Linked DNA regions of Canis lupus familiaris. The protein of the gene in region 4 interacts with the protein of the main gene of each other region in a pairwise test. Links are inferred from orthologs where the notes say so. Each region holds a gene or a part of one and is shown on either strand. Other genes may lie near its edges.

Region 1 (5,352 bases), on a different chromosome or scaffold from region 4:
AGACAGAGACACAGGGAGAGGGAGAAGTATGCTTCATCCAGGGAGCCTGACGGGGGACTCAATTCCCGGTCTCCAGGATCACACCCCGGGCTGAAGGCAGCGCTAAACTGCTGGGCCACCAGGGCTGCCCCTGAAGGGACATTTAAAAAAAACTCAAACTCCTTAAATGTCACCGAGTAGTACACTTTAAAATGGTCCATCATATGTTATGTGAATTTCAAGTCAACAAAAATTCGAAGCAAGCTCTATTTAATGTCTCTTGTTTTGGACAAAAGAGACCGGTAACCTGTTAGCTACTAAACATTTAGACAAGGATGGTTTATGACCACAGGTGCCTTGAGGGGAGGCTGGACAGCTGGAGTTGAAAACTGGGCGGTGATGGCATAGCACAGCATGCTGGATGCAGAGGGGCCTCACCTGAACAGAAAGGTGCCTGGGGAAGGTGGATCCTATAAAGGAGACTGCTTTCCTGGTTTTGCCCACTTGGAAAGTGGAGATGTTAGCTTGGACACTGGAAGGCTGAGACAGAGGGTTGGGACATTAGGGCCATGCCAGAAAGAAGCAGTTCCTGTATGAGTTCACAGAGCACAGAACAGACTGCCCTCTGAGGCTTCAGATCTTGTGGTCCAGCCCCTGTTCTTTGGGGATCAACTGGAGCCTGGGGGCAGAGAGGGGAAGCGGCAGCTCCCCATCACCTCCTCCTCTTCCTCTTTTGGTCCACACGGTCTGCAGTGGCAGCAGCCCACCTGTCTGCTCACCCTATCTGACCTGGATGCTTTCTGGTGGTCCCATCCTCATGGATGGAGCTGAGACATGGCCGCTCCGTCTCTCCAAAGCTGGGTGCACCATCCTCATCAATGGCTGTGTTGTCTCAGTGCACTCTTTATGTGGACTCACATGAATTTCCTTGCCCAGCTAAAAATAAACCCTGCAGTTCATCATCAGCCAGGATTAAATACACCACACCGCCAGGCAGGTGACTTGGCCCATTCCTATTGGTCAATTCAGAGCAGTGACTTCCTTCTCTGCAAGCAGGCTCTCTCTCTCTCTCTCTCTCTCTCTCTCTCTCTCTCTCTCTCTCTCCACACACACACACACACACACACACACACACCCAAAAAACAAAAAAAACCTCCCCTACACACAGATACACAAAACCACTCAGGATCTATTTCTGTCACTAAGCACACAGCAGGGTATGATTATAAAGAGGCTCCTGATCATTGACTTTCTGTTTGAAGAGAGCTGGCCTGTGAGAATAGTACGAGGGATCTTTGGGTTTGCCCTGAGTGGTGACTTCTCTCCACCCTATTTGACAGCTCCCCTGAGACACTGCAGCCACTCAAACCCCAGGAGGAAGCAGTGCACATCAGCCAGGCATATGCACCAAACTTCCTCTTTCTCCTTCTGCATATGAACACTCCCAAGTCATTAAAAGAAAACTAATGTTGAGCACTGTCCAAGACCGAGGCCCACGCTGGGCCCTCACTGGTTTGTCTAAACCCATCTTCCCATGACTGACAGTGGGGGGTGGGCAGGGTACTTAGTGCTATTTATGCTTTATCTATAGAGGTGGGATCTGAGATGGCCAGCAGAGCTTCTGCTTCATACTTGGGTCTTGTACAGAGCCTGGGGATCCTCATCTCTGACCATATCACAGAATTTTTTTGGACATCAAAACAACTTAGAGAAACAGACAGCCTGGTTTCCATGATGATGTACCACATTTCAGTAATAGCCTGTGCATGCTCTCATGCAATCCTCTTAATTATGCACATTAGAATTTACCTCATTAAAGACGCAGATGGAAAGACATGAGGTTTTCTTTTTTTTTAAAAAACCGTCTATTTTGCAAAAAGAGGACCAGAAGGTGTGGCCTCTTTTAACTGGATCAGAATTTCTCTTTTTTTTTTTTTTAAATTTTTATTTATTTATGATAATCATACAGAGAGAGAGAGAGAGAGGCAGAGACACAGGCAGAGGGAGAAGCAGGCTCCATGCACCGGGAGCCCGATGTGGGATTCGATCCCGGGTCTCCAGGTCGCGCCCTGGGCCAAAGGCAGGCGCTAAACCGCTGCGCCACCCAGGGATCCCTGGATCAGAATTTCTAGGGAAATTTTAAAATGCCCAGACTTACTAGGATAGCGTTTCTCAAAAAAAAAAAAAAAAAAAAAAAGAAGCATCCTGTGGAAGATGGGGGCTTGAAAATTCTGCCTGGAAAAAAGGATTCTTGGCTGAAACACTTTTGGGGATCCCATGGCCTGTTCTTACAGAAGCATCATGCAAATTTGCTTCGTAGAGTCTCTAATACCTTTTTAAACAAGCTGTAGATGTTTTCAGAACTTTTGTTTCATCCAGCATTCTTAACTTACTTAGACCTTAGAAACCTTTTCTTATACACCTATTAATGTGACACAGAATCAGTGCTTCCGAAAAACCACCCTAGGAAATGCTGCTGCAGAGCAGGTAAGGGGGAAGATTTGAACTGGGATTGTGAACCAAGATTGTGGTGAACTAAGATTGTGGCAATCGGCTAGGGCATCATGTTAGGAAGGGTTCTGAGGACCAGTCTGGCCATTAGGCTAGCGATCCCTGGTCTGGGTGGTGGATGAGGGAGGCCCTGTGCCAGCAGCCCTGATCTGAGACATAACTTGTATTTTCTTCTCGCTAAGAATCCTTCAGGTTTGACTAACTGGTTTGGATCCTCCTCCAGCAAGAACCTGGACCTGATGCTGGGTGATTCCTGGCTCTTGACTTCCTTTGGTTTGTTCAGGTTCATAGAGTGTTTCCCAACGGGCTGGCCTCCCAGGAGGGGACTATTCAGAAGGGCAATGAGGTTCTGTCCATCAACGGCAAGTCCCTCAAAGGGGCCACACACAACGATGCCCTGGCCATCCTCCGCCAAGCTCGGGACCCCAGGCAAGCCGTGATCGTCACGCGGAAGCCGGCTCTGGAGGCTGCGCCCGACCTGAACTCCTCCACGGACTCTACGGCCTCAGCCTCGGTGGCCAGCGATGTTTCTGTAGATCCCAGTAAGTGCCCCGAGCTCGGTGGGAGCCCCGTGGGTCACGTTGCCCTTGGCCACGTGGGGCCAGTACTGCTGGGGCTGCTCCATGATGCGCGGCCGGCCCGGGACACTGCTGGGGGGTGTGTCTGTGCTCACAGGCGTGCGGGCCCGGGCGGGGCTGCAGATCCAGCGGGCACGAGGCCCAGGCGTCTGTGGGCTGGCGCGGAGGGCACCCCTCACCTGGCCCTGTGCTTCCCCTGCAGCAGAGGCCACGGTACACACGGTGACACTGGAGAAGACCTCTGCGGGCCTGGGCTTCAGCCTGGAAGGTGGGAAGGGCTCCTTGCTCGGGGACAAGCCTCTCACCATTAACAGGATTTTCAAAGGTGGGTGTGTGTCGGCTCCTTGCGTTCTCTCCTGCTGCGAGTGTTGGGCCGGGCCCCTGCAAGGCTGCTAGGCGCCTGCTGGCCAGGCAGGGGGCCACTTGGGGACTGGATTCAGCTCTTTTTACCGGTTCTCCTCGGCTCGGGACAGCCCCTTACCCCTTCTATTTCTCTGGGTCCTCATGACAGAGCCCTGGGCTTGATTCAGCCTGGCAGGCCCGCCCAGCAGGGACTAGGCCGAGATCCGAGAGGCACAGCCCAGGGCACAGCCCTGCAGGGACCCCCACACCCGTGATAGCTTATTTCAGTGTGTTATTTTTATTTTTAATTTCTTAATTATTTTTTAAAGATTTTAGTTGCTGATTCATGAGACAGAAGAAGCAGAGACACAGGCAGAGGGAGAAGCAGGCTCCCTGTGGGAGCCCGATCTGGGACTCGATCCCAGGACCCTGGGATTGCGACCTGAGCCAAAGGCAGATGTTCAACCCCTGAGCCACCCAGGTGGCCTCAGTGCGATATTTCTAAAAATTAAAATTAATGAAAAAATCCATAAGGAACAAAATATCAAAGTTTAAAATAAGGATGGAGTCTGACTTTCCACTTGTACACACTCGGCCTTACTCCTTTCCCCCTGATCCTGGACCGGTCAGCTCCCTTTATTCAAAACTCTGACATTTTGTTCATTGTGGGCTGAGGTGCAAGCTGGCCTAAAGTGGGGGTCACTCGGGTTTTCCCTCGAACATTGTGAACGGCCTGCAGCTCCCACAGAGAACCACCCAGGCTCTTCCCAGCTTCTCAGGCTGGAGCAAAACACAAAACAGGGACATGTGCACAGAGAGAGCACAGAGCAGGAGCCTAGGCCCTGGGTTCCAGCTCAGCCTCTCACTTACTGAGTGACTGCTGTCTCTGGGGCCAGAGGCTCCTCATCCACACAGAGGTGTGGGGTGTGTCTGTGCCCCGGGTGCACGGAGGCTCACTGTGGGGAGGGGAGTCTCCAGGAATCCGTGTTTATTCCAACTCTGGGAAAGACAGTTTAACTTTTGAAGGTGGACTTGGGCTCAGCATGTGGCTCAAAGTCCAGAGGCCAGGTTTCTGGTGTTAGGAGCTGTGCTCCTAACAGCAGCATGATCCTGGACAGGCCTCTACTTAGCAGCCCAGGCCCATCTGCGGACACTGGGCTGGGCCTACCAGCTGCAAGGAGATGGGGACTCTGGGGCGGAGAGTCTGGGTTCAAACCTGGGCCACAATACCTAGCAGCTCTGAAGCTCAGCTGGTTACCTGCATCCTCGGGGTCCTCACAGGTGAAAGGGGACTACTACCACCCAAACAGTGTTAGCAGATCACCTGAGACACACAAGGGCCCGATATTCTCCAGCACTTCTGCATTCTCATTACTATTAGCTTCTATTCATACTCCTGAATATCATTGTATCAAATGGATAGAAAATCCTTCGATAGAAACAATAAAATAACACTCTTTCCACAAGCATCTTTGAATGAGTGGGGGCCATATATGATTATGTCCTCTTCACATGGACCCAGGGGTCTTCTCCAGGCCGTTCAGAGACAGCGCACTGCGAAGGTTCACCAGCCCCCTTCCCACACTGCCCAATGCCTGGCGAGCTCATCAGAAGGCAAGAGACTGCATGTGAACAGAAGGGGTTGGGCTGGTGTCCGAGGAGGGGGGTCAGTTCCCCAAAGGCCTCTATGACCCACAGAAGTCTCCTCAACTGAGCTTGGGGCTGCCCAGAACCTCCCTTCTCTGGGGACACAGAGGCTATACCTTTCCCAAGGGCCATGGAGCTAGAGCCTGGTGTGCCAACCTCGAGGTCACTATTTGATGAGATGCCTCATTCTAGACCCACTGCCAGGTTCCCAAGGGATGGGCACCCTGTTCCCTCTGGAGCTGTCCTGCCTCCCCAGAGACTGAGGGTAGGAGGTAACCCTCCTTGTTCCCCTGCC
Region 2 (5,352 bases), on a different chromosome or scaffold from region 4:
AATCCAGGTTTTTTAAGCCTGTCACCGTTGCATAGTTATTAAGAGCTTTCACTTTTGAATGCCTTGTGGCTTGGACAGTGGTAATACTACCATTCTACCATTCTAACTTGGCCCTAAAGGTAGATTTGCTTTAGAATGGTAGTATTTACTAACTGAGGAAGGGAGGAATGTTGGCATAAAAGAGCAGAATAAATATTCAAATTTTAGAAATTCTTATGATTATAATTTTATTAAATTTTCCATTTTGGAAAATTAAACAGAATTCTCACATATGAATACCACCATCATGTTATATGTTTAAAATACCAGTTTGGTGGCAGAGTGAGGGAGGTTGCTTGGTTTTTTGTGGGTTGTTCCCCCCCCCCCCCTTTAATGATCACATTGAGTTTTTGAATCTTCTACAAAATGATAGATCCTAAAGAGAATAAATGTACTATATTTAATCTTAACTAATATTTATTCCATTTAGCACAGCTTTTGGGGGAACTTTAATAAATCAGTGTAGTTTACATAAAAAATTTCCAAACAGAAATGTAGCTAGTGGCTACATGTTGAGAGAGTATCCTTTGTATCAGTACGTCAGCACCTTTTGGTTCCCTAATCTTTCCTTCCTCCTCCCCCCACAATTGAAGCAGGTGGCTATAGTCCCATAATCCCTATTTTAAGGCTGGTGAGTACATATGGCTGTGATGTGTACAGACCATCTTAAGTGCTTACTACTACTCTTGTGTTTTCCATGTATAGGCAGAGGGAGAAGACAGCCTGAAGAAGATGCAGCTGATGGAGCTTGCAATTCTGAATGGCACCTACAGAGATGCCAACATTAAATCACGTAAGAATGAGACTGAGGTCCATGGTTACAGCTGAATCAATTATTTTGTCCACAAACCTTTTCTCCTGTTGGCAGTGCAGCACACGAGCTTCACACTATGTGAAGAGTCGAAATAATTATCACTTAATAAGGGACTCACAGTCCCATTTTTACTGCTTTCATGAATTGGGGACAGTCTCCTTTATTTGATGCCAGCATGTCTAAGTTTGGAGTTTATAAACTTTTATTATTTCAATGATATTTCAACTTCTAAATTTAAAAGTTTCGGGAAATTTCCTATTCTTTTAACTACAGATTTAAGGCTTCGAGCTTATTGTTATATTTATGCAAAAGAGAAAATAATTTTTAGACTTTTTTTTTTAAAAGCTGATTTGGAATGTATATGAAAGCAGTGACCCTTTTGTCGAATTCTGTCCTCTCACCATGCTTGCTAATGTTCCCCTCCGGTATTTTTCTCTGTTGATTTTGTATATGAGCTGAATTCACAGAGAGCAGTAGATGATACTGTTTTAATCCCATTTTTCCTTTAGATATATCTGTGGACGCTTCCTAAACTTGAAGAGGATTGCTTTTTTTATTTTTTGAGGCAGTTGAAGGTTTACAGTTCTTTTAATGAACGTAATTATTTAAATTACTAGTTTTTTGTTTTGTTTTGTTTTTTTAAGAACTAGAATTTTTTTTTTAAGATTTTATTTATTTATTCATGAGAGACACAGAGAGAGAGAGAGGCAGAGACATAGGCAGAGGGAGAAGCAGGCTCCATGCAGGGAGCGCAATGTGGGACTCCATCCCGGGCCTCCAGGATCATGCCCTGAGCCGAAGGCAGACGCTTAACCGCTAAGCCACCCAGGCGTCCCAAGAAATAGAATAGGTGTCCAAAATAGAGGCAATTTACTAGATTCAGAAGTGGTTACTTTACAAATATTTGGCTTTAATTTATTCATGAGAATGAGTATATCATTAATAGTCTTATGCTTAGGAATGGGACATTTTTTATATTGTTTTTTGTATGAAGTTCATACAGATGCAAGAAGTTTATATAAATAAAACTAGTCGTTGGCTAACTTAATACAGTAAAAATTATTCTTTTTTTTCATTTGAAACTTAAGTTTTTCTTTAGAAATATACCAAAGCTGTATTTCTATGGACTCCCAATTCCAAAATTTTTTAACTTCTTTTAATGCGAGTATTTCCATGTGCTTTTGCATGTACCTTTAGTCTCAGGAGATCTTAAAAACACAGATATATCAAATACATGAACTAAATATAACCTATTTTAATGGTCTCATTCTTTTTTTTTTTTTTTTTTACAGTGGCTTGTTAATTTTTGCACATTTATTCTTAATCACACTGGGAAAGGGGAAGCTGTTTGCATTTGATCAGTGTGCTTTGGCATTTTGTGTGATCAGCGCATGTACTAATGATTTCCTTTTATTTTTCTTCTTTCCTGCTTCTCCTTTCTTTTTCCTACTTCCCTCTCATTTTCCATATTTTATACTGCTGTCTCTACACTTCTCCTACATTTCTTTGCTTACTGTAGCAGCCCTTGCCTTTTCTCTTGCAGCAACAGCCCAGGCTGCTCCAAGGATTATCACTGGGCCTGCGCCTGTTCTCCCACCAGCTGCCCTGCGTACTCCTACGCCAGCTGGCCCTACCATAATGCCTTTGATCAGACAAATACAGACCGCTGTCATGCCAAACGGAACTCCTCACCCGACTGCTGCAATAGTTCCTCCGGGGCCCGAAGCTGGTTTGATCTACACACCCTATGAGTACCCCTACACGTTGGCACCAGCGACATCCATCCTTGAGTATCCTATTGAACCTAGTGGTGTATTAGGTAAGTTGTTCTCCCTGTGTGGCTGGCAGTTTATTTCTTCATGACTTCTGTGCTTCAGACTTTGAAATGATTATATCCGTTTTGGAGAGGCAAGACAAGTTTCCATTAGGAAGACAGAAGCCTAAAGTTTGTTTTATTTCAGCCTCTCTTAATGGCTCCCTTTTTAAAGAATTGCACCTTAGGTGTGCTCAGATTCTCTTTGGTAACTCAGATTCACTTTGAGTAAATCAGCTATGAACACTTAAACGGAAAGTACTTTTCACTTTTGACATCACTGAGGTCGTTCTGAGTTTGGCCTATCCCCTCCATTTGCTCCACTGCCCACAGTTAGATTCCTTTCGTCTCAGGGAATTAGTTGGTTGTCATCTAAATTTTAAATTTCTGTGTGGAAATATTTTGAGATCTTTTTTATAACTGCTGTTATTGTCTGTGTGTTTTCTAATATTTGTGATCACGTAAATATGAAAGAGACCAGGTAAATTAGTTGGATTCTTCAGCTTCTCAGTTTTTCTCTCTTGAAGTTATTAGTTAATGTCAAACATAAAAGAAATTCCTAATTTCAGTAGTACAGTATGGAATTGATAAGTAAATACCAAGTCACTGTTTTAGAATCACCTTTGAGGCAAAAATTAAGATCATAGTATGAACGCTTGGTTTTACATGAACAAAAAGTGGTGTGCTTGAAAAAGACATTACTGATGCCTTTTTTTTATAGAGTGGATTGAAATGCCAGTCATGCCTGATATTTCAGCCCATTGACTTGCTGGATGAAGGACTAGAATACAGCAGCTGTTATAACACGACCAGTCAATGTGGGACAAACTGTTTCCGTGCTGCCCCTTTGTTTTACCAGACAGAATATGAATACTTTTTTTCCTTGAATTGTATATGACCTTGGTGCTGCATGCATGCTGTTGACTCTTAGGACTTTGATCTTTTAAGGTTTTTTTTTTCCAGCATTAATACTGATCTATAAAAATTTGAAAGTCTTTAATGAACCCGGACACTAAGATTTAAACTTGAAAATTCATTGTTCAATTAAAGAAAGCCACAATGCTCTGTATGTTATCTGTGTGTGTGCATGCACTCAGGTGCCTTTTGTTTCATGAGCAAATACATTTTATTGTACATGTTTTCCGTTTTATCTCTAAATCATTGTATAAAGTATCATAAGTCAGAATTTATAGAATTGTTTATGAGAAGCTTGTTTCTGTTGCACATTTCTTGAAGCATTTTTAAAATAACCTGTAACCTGTAACCTGTTTACGTCTTCCTTTCTGTTAACGCTCTGTCTTGTGGCCCCATGCCTGCTCCTTTCCCCAGAGCTCCTCTCTGCTGCACGCACAGCGTCTGTTCGAGGAGTTGGTTGCTTCCTGCAGGGCTGGCACTCTTAGCCACCAGCTGCTGTTCCAGCACTCTCAATGCAAGATCTCGCTGATTTTGCCTCGTGGAATTCTACTTGTATAAGATTAGTTTATCTAAAATGAAAAAAGGGGTGATGGACCAGTTTACTGCTTAGAAACAGCAAGAGGCACTGCAGTTTCTCATTTTAAGCAATGTGTTTTTTGTTGTGTTGGGAAATTTTTATTTGTAATAATTATTAGACTGACAAATTAAAAGCAAAATATATACAGATACCTAATTGGCATTCATAAAATGAATAATAGTACTAAATGATCAAAATCCATTATCAATCCTGTTTCTCGCTTTGCCACCTAAGCAGTAAAACGTGACATTGAGCACTTAGAGAACTGAAAAAATTATTTCAAATTCCTAAGTTATAATAAATTTGCACACAGATAACATGCATGATATATATCAAGTCTCACATCATATTATTTTAAAATAAGCAGTGCCCTTCAAAACAGATGCAGACATGTGTGTTGGTGGTAGTGAGGAGATTGGTATTAGCATCAAATCTTCATTGATGACTAATTTTTAATTCCCTTCCTTTTATCTTTAGGTATGGCTTTCCCAACGAAAGGCTAAGAATTCAAGAACGGTCTTAACTGAACCCTCATCAGATCTGAATTTAACAAATGCTTAGTCTCAGCAGCCTCCGGGGGTGGGGTGGGGGGGAAAGCTTAGCCTAGCAGTCAGTGACTTACTTGCACTTTTTGCACACTGATAGAAAGTAAAAGTATGTTATTAATTTGGTTTAGTCTGTAATCTTACAAAGTAACGGTAATTTATAAAGGAGTGTATAGTAGTATACTGACTGCTAAGTGTACTATACTGTTTGCTTTACTAATCACCTAATTCATTGCAGTTCATACTTATTGACTCAAAGTTTAAAACCACAATCTGTAGGCTTTAAGAATTGCTTTTAAACCTTTTTAAGTGATAAACTCTGGAAGTGGTCTTAAGGTTAGCAAATAATTGTCAGTATTAAACATGGCATTATTTAAGTGGTCCTGCTGCAAGAAAGGCACTTCAGTGAATATGTGACTAGTAAAGCTTAAATATGTTTGGATCTAATAGAATTCATGAAATACTGTAACTTGGGATTGTGAATGAATGGATAAAATAGGTTAAGGCCAAGATGTTTGAAATGAATGCAATATTAATAGACGCATATATACACAACATACTATGGTTAATTTTAAAACTACTGTGCCTTAACGTGTTTCTTAAAATGAAACTTTTGTAGTAAATGAACATTTGAAATCCATTTTGATAA
Region 3 (5,352 bases), on a different chromosome or scaffold from region 4:
AAGTATTCCCTTAAAATAGAAAAAAATAAAGTATGGCCATTATTATATAACATTTATTTGGAAATTCTAGCCAGTACAATAGAGTGAAAATCAGAAGGAAGTAGTAGAACTTTGAAGAGAAGAGTCAAGTTATCCACAATTGATTATATACCAAGAAATTCCAAGAAAACCACAAAAAGAAAACTTGTTAGAACTGTTCTGAAATGATTAGATTATGTCTTCTGGTAGCATCTTTCTTTTGAAAAATGGCCCCTTGACCTTCCTATTTGCCTTAAATTTCTAAGACTGTCTGCCCTGGGCACATATGAGTCTGTAGTCCATCTGTGCTTGTGATCTCAGCTGTGGACCAAAGCATTCCTACATTATTCTTAAGCCAGATACCTTTATGGAAGGCTTAGTCAGGATCTCACATTTTATTGTTCTGTCTATAGCTTCCTGTGATTTCTGTGATGAGAGAAACAGAATCTCAATTGCTACCAGATGTGGGGACTATTGTAACCTGTAAGGTAAGTAGGTCTTAACCTCCCTTCTTAGGACACCTGTTCAATGGTGAAATCATGATCATTGTGGAAGTGCTCTGTCTTATGTGGCAGTCACTAGCCATATGTGGCCATTTAATTGAAATGAATTAAAATTGAAAGTTCATTTCCTCCATCTCACTAGCTACATTCCAAGTGCTCACGTATAGTTGACAGCTGCCTTGTTGGCCAGCACAGAACATTTTAATCATCACAGTGTTACTGGACTGTGCCGGCCTAGAAAGTTCTGGGATAGTGATCAAGGCAGCCAAGTTCAAGCATGCGTAGCTCTTTCACTGAGCTGATTCCCTGAGTATGCAGTTTGGGAAACAGGTGCCAAAGGGTAATAATAATAAGGAAGCCTATTTTTAACATTTAGAAGCTATTTTAGTCTGGAGAGAAGCAAAAGACCTTATAAAGACCTATTAAATTTCATCTTTTAGGGCACCTGGGTGGTCCAGTCAGTTAAATGTCTGCCTTCGGCTCAGGTGGTGATCCTAGGATCCAGCCCTGCATCAGGCTCCCTGCTCAGCAGGGAGTCTGCTTTTCTGTCTCCCTCTGCCCCTTCTCTCCACTCATGCTGTGTCTCTTTCTTTCTCTCAAATAAATAAATAAAATCTTTTTTATTTATTTTTATTTTTATTTTTTTTAAATTTTTATTTATTTATGATAGTCACAGAGAGAGAGAGAGGCAGAGAGAGAAGCAGGCTCCATGCACCGGGAGCCCGACGTGGGATTCGATCCCGGGTCTCCAGGATTGCGCCCTGGGCCAAAGGCAGGCGCTTAACCGCTGCACCACCCAGGGATCCCAATAAAATCTTTTTTAAAAATAAATTTCATCATTTGGGGTGTTTCAGGGGAAATACAAATTAATGCTATACTGATCAGTAACTACAAGACATCCTTACTCTCTGCCCACCCCCATGTTAAGTTAAATCAACTTGAGTTCTTAGTTGCTGTTTATAAATTGTTCCAGCAGAAAATCAATGTGTTATTCTTAAAATAACTGAAGAGGCAGTGATCCAAATATTACACAGTAACTGAAATGTACACTTAAATTCTGTCCACTGGGGATCCCTGGGTGGTGCAGCGGTTTGGTGCCTGCCTTTGGCCCAGGGCGCGATCCTGGAGACCCCAGGATCAAATCCCACGTCGGGCTCCCGGTGCATGGAGCCTGCTTCTCCCTCTGCCTGTGTCTCTGCCTCTCTCTCTCTCTCTCTCTCTGTGTGTGACTGTCATAAATAAATAAAAAATTAAAAAAAAAAGAAATATAAACATTTAAAAAAATTTTTCTGTGCACTGTACCGGGCTCTTGGTAAGATCAGTTAAAGGTCTAGATTTACGGTAATGCCCTGTTTTTATTTGTTAGGCTTCTGTATTTTTCAAGATATATTCCATATTATTTCATTGGATGCCCACAGTAACTTTATTAGGTGGCTGGAGAGACTCTCATTCCATTTGACATATATCATTTATGCAGAATTAAGTAGGAGTTAACTTGTCTTAAATTCTATAATTAGTAGGATTGCTTGGACTAAAACACTGGTAATTCCTTTCTTGCTGCCTCCTTGAACTGACAACTGCTACTACTCTAATGCTGATCTTTTTTCTGTTCCACAGGTCTCTAGCATCAATTCACGCTTTGCCAAAGTGCACATCCTATATGTGGGGTCCACACCACTTAAGAACTCTTTTCGAGGAACTATCCGGTAAGAAGTATTCATGTTTTTGCATTTGCATCAGCACCTGGAATGAGATTAGAATAGAACAGGGATTGAAATTTTTAGGAACAATTACAGTTCCTATATCTACCTGCCTCTCTCTCCTCTTTGTTCTTTGATTCTGTCCAGGTAGTGTCCAAAGGAAATGTTATAATGTATGAGCTAGGACAAAAGGAAAATATTGACAAGATTGGGCTTTAAAATAAAATGAAAAGAATTGAGCTAAGCTGGAAACTAGTGTTGCAGGAAGTTCATATGGAACAAATTAGGGGCACCTGGGTAGCTCAGTGGTTGAGTGTCTGCCTTTGGCTCGGGTCGTGATCCCGGGGTCCTGGGATTGAGTCCTGCACCGGGCTCCCTGCAGGGAGTCTGCTGCTCCCTCTGCCAATGTCTCTGCCTCTTTCTGTATCTCTCATGAATAAATAAAATCTTTAAAAAAAAAAAAAGTTAAAGGCATCTTAAGAAATATCTTCCTTTTTTGTATTTAATATAGTTTAAATCTAAGGATTGAAAGACTTTATTTTTTTTTTTTAATTTTATTTATTTATGATGGGGGGCGGAGAGAGAGAGAGAGAGAGAGGCAGAGACATAGGCAGAGAGAGAAGCAGGCTCCATGCACCGGGAGCCCGACGTGGGACTCGATCCCGGGTCTCCAGGATCGCGCCCTGGGCCAAAGGCAGGCGCCAAACCGCTGCGCCACCCAGGGATCCCGAAAGACTTTATTTTTATTTTTTTTTATTTTTTTAATTTTTATTTATTTATGATAGTCACACAGAGAGAGAGAGAGGCAGAGACATAGGCAGAGGGAGAAGCAGGCTCCATGCACCGGGAGCCTGACGTGGGATTCGATCCCGGGTCTCCAGGATCGCGCCCTGGGCCAAAGGCAGGCACCAAACCGCTGCGCCACCCAGGGATCCCCCGAAAGACTTTAAAAAGGTAAAAAGGTTAGTGGGTGGGCAGCCCCGGTGGCGCAGCGGTTTAGCGCCGCCTGCAGCCCAGGGCGTGATCCTGGAGACCCTGGATCAAGTCCCACGTCAGGCTCTCTGCATGGAGCCTGCTTCTCCCTCTGACTGAGTCTCTGCCTCTCTCTCTCTCTGTCTCTATGAATGAATAAATAAATAAAATCTTAAAAAAAAAAAAAAAAAAAGGTTAGTGGGTGAGGGGCACCTGTCTGGCTCAGTCAGTAAAGCATGTAAGTCTTGATCTCGGTGTTTTGAGTTCAGGCCCCATGTTGGGCATAGAGATTACTTAAAAATAGAATCTTAGAGGTGCCTGAGTGGCTCAGTTGGTTGAGCGACCGACTTGTGATCTCAACTCAGATCGTGATCTCATAAGCTGTCGTCAGATCAAGCCTCGTGTCTGGCTCTGCAGTCAGTGAGGGGTCTGCTTGAGATTCTCTCCCTCTGTAAAATAGGGTGCACGCTCCCCCCCCCCACTCATGGCATATGCACTCTTTCTCTCTCTCTGTAAAATAAATAAATCTTAAAAAAATAAAATATATTTTTAAAAAGGTGAGTGGAATGGTAGGGTTTTGTTTGTTTTTTCCTGTAGGTTTTTAAAGTAGAGACCAACAATTCTTGTGAGCTAGATATAGCTTCTAAGGCTCTTTCCACCCTTAGGATTCCATGTTGGTTCTGTAGTGCTTCTGTACAAGCTTTCCTAAGGCAGCAAAGTTCCTTATTCTTTCCTGCCAAATCTGATCTGCTTTTCTCTAGTCAAAGGTATTGATACTGCTGCTCTGTGTGACCCAAGAATGGGAATGTGGTTTTCTCCTCCAGGGGAGGACTTGGAATGCTTCTCCACCCCACTTCTGGGTGGCCTTTGGGTCCCAATTATGATTTGTTCTCTCTATTCTTGTAGCTCTCTGTCTGCTATGATTCTGCAGGATAATTCTCACAGATAATTAATCTTTTGTTAATTCTTTTTTATAGCAAGGAAGATGTCCGAGCTACTGAAAAAGACAAGGTTGTTGGTTGGTTCTTTTTTTTTTTTCCCCTTATGACTTTAGGAATCTCGATCCTTTTAAATTACTCCAGGGAATTTCAAACATCTGTGGGAATGTGGATCCAAAGGTCCAAGGAATTTTAAGGTGTTTCCTACTGGAAAGTGTGGAATTCACCTCACTGTCCTTTTCCTTTCCTTAGGATTTTTTGTTTGCTCTATTGAGCAGAAGGGGACTACTTTATTCCTTGCCTTTGAAGCCAGGTGTCTATTCTTTGCTATTCCCTCAGATTTACTTTGTATTCTTTCAGAGCCAACTGTAGTAACTTTTATCTAAGATCCGTTACCAGGTTATTGAATTAAAAATTTTTCATTTAAAAAAATAAAAAATAAAAATCTTTCATTTATATGATGTAAAAGCAATAAAAGTTGTTGATTGGCTTCACTAACGATGACTTCCACCCTGTGGAGTTAAAAAGTACACTGGTTCTACCAGAGGGGCAAATAGTTTCATGTAGATTTGATTTAGAGCTTTCACTTAACATTCCTGTTCTTTCTTTACAGGTTGAGATTTATAAGAGTTTCCGCCCTGGTGACATTGTCTTGGCCAAAGTGGTATCCTTTATTCCAGCAGTCTTGTGGTCCTTTGTCAAAACAAGAAATAGAAGTAGAAAATAACTCAAGTGGCTATGGGAGGGAAGACTTATCACCCATTGTTTTCCTTCACCAGTATTGTGTGACTAGATCTCTCTGGGTGATGCACAATCGAACTACCTCCTGACCACTGCTGAGAATGAACTTGGGGTGGTGGTGGCCCACAGTGAATCGGGTGAGTAGGTCCATACATCCACATGCTTCTCTTTCCCTGGGAGCTACAGTTGGGATTAATTCACTGTTTTCTCTTGTTACCCTGGTTTTAAATCTAGAGCGCAATATGAGTGTCAATCACTTACTACTGAGATTAGAATGATTCTCCTTATATAACTGTAAGGGGGGAATTCACTGCATAAGGCTTTTTCTGTATGAGGTGAGGTTCACTAGGTAGTTTGATGAAACTTCAGGTCATAACCAGCTGAAAAGGGAAGGGTCTTAGTAAACATTTGGGGTCCCAGCTCCAACACTAGCTCTTCCCTTCCAGGTGTCCAGATGGTTCCCATTAGCTGGTGTGAGAT
Region 4 (4,706 bases):
CAGCTATGGGAATAAGGCCCCCGACTCTGGTGTCTACATCCTTAGCTGTACCAGGAGAAGGAACCACAGGGGTTGGGATGTGTTGGCACCTTCCCCAGCACAGAGCAGCAGAGCAGCCACAGGACCCACTTTTGCCTCTCACTTCCCAGCTCTGTGGCCCTCGGCCTGAAGCTTCACCCCACTGACACTCATTGCAGTGAGGATGGTGCTAGAACCTCCCTCCTAGGGTCAGAAGGGCTCAGTGTGACTATGTGGCTGTTCCCCAGGCGTACCTGAGATGCCTGAATTTCTTCTTGCCTTCAATCACTGGATGGGTATTTGCTGAACACCCTGTTTCATGTGCCCTGTGCCTAGGTATTGGGTCACAGAGGTGAATCTGCCCCTTTGGGAGCCCCCTATTTAGCAGTCTGAGGCCTGTCTGACCAGCCTGTCTGGCTAACCCTCTCCCTCTGGGCGCCATGCAGGTCCCGGAGCCAGTGGGAGACTTCCAGCCAAGCTACTACCCGCTGCCGCCGCCGCCGCCACCTCCACCACCACCGCCGCCGCCTCCACCACCACCGCCGCCGCCACCACCGCCGCAGCCTCAATTTCTCCCACCAGGCTTCTTGTCTGCGCTCCACTTTCTGCCGCCTCTGCCACCGCCGCCACCACCGGCATCTTTCTCTCTCACCATTCTGTCTGATACAGACAAGGAAACCACTGGTAAGAGGGCCCCAGGCTTTCAGCTTCTGGGGAGCCAGGAGGACTTCCTGGAGGAAGGGGGCCTAATCACAAAGTAGAGGTGGAGAGCAGAATTTAAAATGCATTGGGTCTGGGGATGAGCTCTTCAGTTATATCCCTCTTTTTATTCCATATGCAAGCATCCAAGAGGGGCTCCCCAGTCTCAGGTGAGAAAACCAATGGAACCCTGAGAGGTTCTCACATATGTAAATGGAAGATGGCAGCGCTTGGATCTCCACAGAATTCTGTCTGGCTCCGGAGCTCATGCTAATTCCCAATCCCCCCCACCCCCACCCCTTATCAGGGCCTGTGGGCAGAGATGTGAAGGATGGCATTCCTGTGGTGTGTTCAGGAGACCAGCTGTGCCAGGCTGCTCTGGCTCAGCTGGGGCTATTCTAGAGAGGGAAGCAGCAGATGCTGAGGCTGGGGCAGCAGCTGGAACTGGGTGGGGGTTGCTAGGGATAAGTCCTCGTGGAGAGAAACCGGCCAGGAGCCAGGGACCCTGTCCTTCATTGCTCTGCCACTGGCGCACTGGGTGACCTCAGGCCCTCCCACTCACTCGAGGCCTGTCTCCTCATCTGTAAAATGGGTCCTGTTAACAGGGTTATTGTGGTAGTCAATATTAGAGGTAAAAGTGCTTTAGGTTTTCTTACGAGGGTTCTTGCAGCTTTAAAGGTTCTAGGATTTTTTTTTCCCCTTTCAGTCCTTCCCTGAGGCTCCCTAGGAAAAGGAAGTGAGGCCTTCTGTACACACGTGCTGTGTTTGAGATGCCTAGATAGGCAGAGATGGTGTGTGGCTTGAAGCATGCTGGCCCCAGAGCCAGACAGTAGCTTTGTGACCCGCGGCAAGGTCATTCAGTCCTTGGAGCCTCCCCCCTCCCTCACCTTCTGCAGAAGTGGGCTTAACGGCCCCACCTCAGGAGGTGATTCTGAGGACCCATCTGAACCTGCACCCCAGGACGGCATTTGTGTTCATTCTCCCTGTTTCCTGTCATCCCCTGCTGACCTGACGTTGGGAGGGCAGATCTCATTCCCCAGAAGCGTGCAGAAGTTCAGAGCCTCGGGGTAGCTTGCTCCTGGCCACCCAGCTGGCGACAGGCAGAGCCAGAGTGTGAGCTGGAGTCTGTGTTGGGCTGGGGCTAGGCTGCCAGGGTCCGGACACCTGGCCCATGGAGGGCAAAGGCATTCTCCGCAGAGGCTGGGAACCCTGAGAATGCCTGACCAAAAGTTTGCATCTGAAAGTAGGTAATTCCCCTGTTTGTAAATCCAGCCCCTCTTTGTCCTTCACAGATGGCCAGGATGCAGGGGTACCAGAGGAGCCCGGGGTGCCTGAGGCGGAGGCGGGGGCCCCTGAGGCGGAGGACCCTGAAGCGGAGGCGGGGGCCCCTGAGGTGGAGGCAGAGGCGCCTGAGGCAGAGGCGGAGGTGCTGCCGGGTGAGCCCAGCCAGCTGCCTTCCAAGGAGCAGTCCAACTAGGCCCTGGCATGCTTGGGCCAGCGGGGTGGGGGTTGCGGGTGTTGCAGCAATGATGTTCTTAACGGGTTTGGGGATGTGTAGGGAGGAAGGGTAGTAGTAGACATAAAATGGCAGTTTAATTTCCATTTCAAGACAGGAGGGAGGAAGGTGATTTCTAAGGTTCTCTCTATCCAGAGACGTGGGATTGACCAGGAACATGGAGGATGGTTAGCAGGGGAGGGCCAGGGCTTTGAGGATTGGGGGGCTGGTGGAAGCTCACATTTAGGAATGAATTTAACTGAGTCTGGGTTGTGCTGCTGTTAGACTCACTCCCAGAAGTGGTCTTTGATTTCCTCGGGCCCGCTCCAGGACAGGAGGCACCATCTATTTCAGCCTTCTGCTTCCGCCTCTGCTTGGTCCCAGCTGGGGGCAGCACAAACACTGAGCCCCAAGCACATCCAGGTGGTTTGTGTGGGCAGCTGGGACCAGGTGCTGACAGCAGGTTCTACAGCGTCCTTCCCTGCTGCTCTATCTCTTGTGAGGGCTGCCTGGCCACTGCCTCTCGCCCCTTCTCCAAGGGGCTGCACCAAGCATTCTGACTGCTGGGGCTGCCTCCTCTCCTCTCCATAAAGTTTAAGCCACTATAGGCATCTTTTCTGGTTAAAAAAAATCTATTAAAGTTTGACTATTTGATATTTTTATAGTGATTGCCAACTTTAAAAAGTAGGCTGTTTGTAAGCACTGATGCAGTTCTCAGAAGAGAATGGTGCTTCTAAATCATCTATGTATCCATTTCTTCTCTGGGGACAGTTGACTGTTGAAATAAAATAAGCAGTGGAAATCATCGTGCAAGTTTCATTTTCTTTAAGTCTTGTGGAAGGTGGTTTTGGGGAGAGCGTCTGGGCCTGGCAAGTCCCTTCCTGGCTTACCTCCCCTTTCCCTGTTGCCAAGGGAGAGGGTTGGGCCAGGCTACTAGATTTCTGTCTGTCGTTGATATTCCCACCATTTTTCTTAAGCAGTGGAGACCTTTTGAGGACATTGCAGACACACAAGATGTAAAGATTTCTTTTAGTTTCCCTCACTCAGCTGTGGGGGTGGTCAGAAGTTGGGATCTCAACTCTATCTTAAAGGTGAAAGTAGGCATTCCTGGGGGGTGGGTGCAGAAAGAGTAAGGGACCTGGAGTGAAGGATTCTGGGTGAGACACTGTGTCCTGTCCTCTGTCCAGGGGCAGACTGGCACTCAAACAGGCCAGTCTGCATGCCACCTGGCTTGTAGGCAGGGGTGTCCCAGAATCCCCAGGACAAGCGGCAAGATGATCGCTGAGAAATGCTCTCTGTTCTCCCAACATGAGTGTCCTGGCTGGGCCTCGGCCTGCTCTGTTGGCACTGGAGCAGGATCTAGTCCTAGAAGGTTTCTGTCCCTGCTTTTTGGGCAGTCCTAGCAGGGCCGACCCAGGCACTGAGGCCTGCAGGGCAGCATTGTCTTGTCTCTGCCTGATGCTGTGATGTTGGACTAGCCTGGCTTTGAGGCTGAAGCCCCCCAATGCTTCCTGCATAATAGCACTGGTCCTGTCTTGGGGTCCACAGCCCTGAGGAGCCCTGGGTTCCAGATGGCCTCACCCTGCCCCGTCAGTATGGCCAAGTAGGGCTGGATCAGTGCCCCTCCGTACTCCTTCATTACACTGCTTTATCTTAGACTCCCTGTTTTGAAGATTTTCACCCAAGCTGCATTAATCAAAGTATTTCTGATCTGCAATACACAGGTCTGAGAGTCTGGCCACATGGACTCCAAAGCATTCCAGACCGGGGCAAGGAAATAGGATGTTTATTCAGTCTGTGGGGTTGAGAAGGGGCGCTCTGGAGGCTGAGAAGGACAGTGTCCTGTTGCTGAAATCCGTGTCCACAGAACTCCAGGGAGGGGAGGAATGCTCGGTTCTCCTATAGACCTGTGATCTGACGAATCTCCGGAGCCTGGTTAGCTTCTTCCCTGGGACCTTGAGGGTGCCAGCTGCAGTGACAAGACAGCCACGGGCAGGGTTGGAGACCTGCTTCCTCTCTTCCCCCCTGGTGTGAACCCCAAGCTCCGACAGCCCGGGCTCATCCTTTCCTCGTTCTCACCATGCTAAGGTCAGGGGACCCCTGCTCCCTGTAGCCTTTCTAGTCAATCCATTATGCTCCCTGAATGTCCTGTTCCATCCTGCAGTCCTTCAGCAGCAACAGCATGAGGCTGAAACACCACATCTGCTCGCGTTGCTACCTTGCTTGCACACCTTCTATGGCTCCCTACTGCCCCGAGGCCAACATCTTCAAGCCAGTGGGCCTGCCCCCCTCCAGCCTCCTCTCCTCACTGGCTGGCCCAGCACAGGTCTTGCAGGGGTAGAGTCGGCCAGGTCCAGGCAGAAAATGAAGGGAAGGGACAGACTGGCAGCCAGCAGCACTGCCCAGCCCTAATGACCGAGGCTTGGCCATAAACTGAGAGAATGTTCTGGAAGGCAGCAGCCGGCGGGCCTGGCCTGACGCTGGATGCACTGTC

Evidence for each region.
Region 1: the proteins of DMRTB1 (region 4) and IL16 interact in a two-hybrid assay, tested with the Homo sapiens proteins (2 studies listed by BioGRID). The two-hybrid records come from large-scale screens. The link is inferred for Canis lupus familiaris from reciprocal best matches to the Homo sapiens genes DMRTB1 and IL16.
Region 2: the proteins of DMRTB1 (region 4) and QKI interact in a two-hybrid assay, tested with the Homo sapiens proteins (2 studies listed by BioGRID). The link is inferred for Canis lupus familiaris from reciprocal best matches to the Homo sapiens genes DMRTB1 and QKI.
Region 3: the proteins of DMRTB1 (region 4) and EXOSC1 interact in a two-hybrid assay, tested with the Homo sapiens proteins (2 studies listed by BioGRID). The link is inferred for Canis lupus familiaris from reciprocal best matches to the Homo sapiens genes DMRTB1 and EXOSC1.

The regions. Positions count from the first base shown.
Region 1 is NC_049224.1:56,952,149-56,957,500, reverse strand, and holds part of IL16 (pro-interleukin-16), read left to right. Parts: intron 1-2,773; coding exon 2,774-3,032; intron 3,033-3,270; coding exon 3,271-3,393; intron 3,394-4,932; coding exon 4,933-5,024; intron 5,025-5,352. UniProt on the Homo sapiens protein: Interleukin-16 stimulates a migratory response in CD4+ lymphocytes, monocytes, and eosinophils. Primes CD4+ T-cells for IL-2 and IL-15 responsiveness. Also induces T-lymphocyte expression of interleukin 2 receptor. Ligand for CD4.
Region 2 is NC_049222.1:52,501,851-52,507,202, forward strand, and holds part of QKI (protein quaking), read left to right. Parts: intron 1-744; coding exon 745-832; intron 833-2,372; coding exon 2,373-2,672; intron 2,673-5,352. UniProt on the Homo sapiens protein: RNA reader protein, which recognizes and binds specific RNAs, thereby regulating RNA metabolic processes, such as pre-mRNA splicing, circular RNA (circRNA) formation, mRNA export, mRNA stability and/or translation.
Region 3 is NC_049249.1:10,915,695-10,921,046, reverse strand, and holds part of EXOSC1 (exosome complex component CSL4), read left to right. Parts: intron 1-431; coding exon 432-506; intron 507-2,138; coding exon 2,139-2,227; intron 2,228-4,170; coding exon 4,171-4,204; coding exon of another isoform or gene 4,205-4,211; intron 4,212-4,744; coding exon 4,745-4,795; intron 4,796-4,924; coding exon 4,925-5,009; intron 5,010-5,318; coding exon 5,319-5,352. UniProt on the Homo sapiens protein: Non-catalytic component of the RNA exosome complex which has 3'->5' exoribonuclease activity and participates in a multitude of cellular RNA processing and degradation events.
Region 4 is NC_049226.1:55,947,858-55,952,563, reverse strand, and holds the end of DMRTB1 (doublesex- and mab-3-related transcription factor B1), read left to right. Parts: intron 1-464; coding exon 465-702; intron 703-2,009; coding exon 2,010-2,194; 3' UTR 2,195-3,017; downstream 3,018-4,706.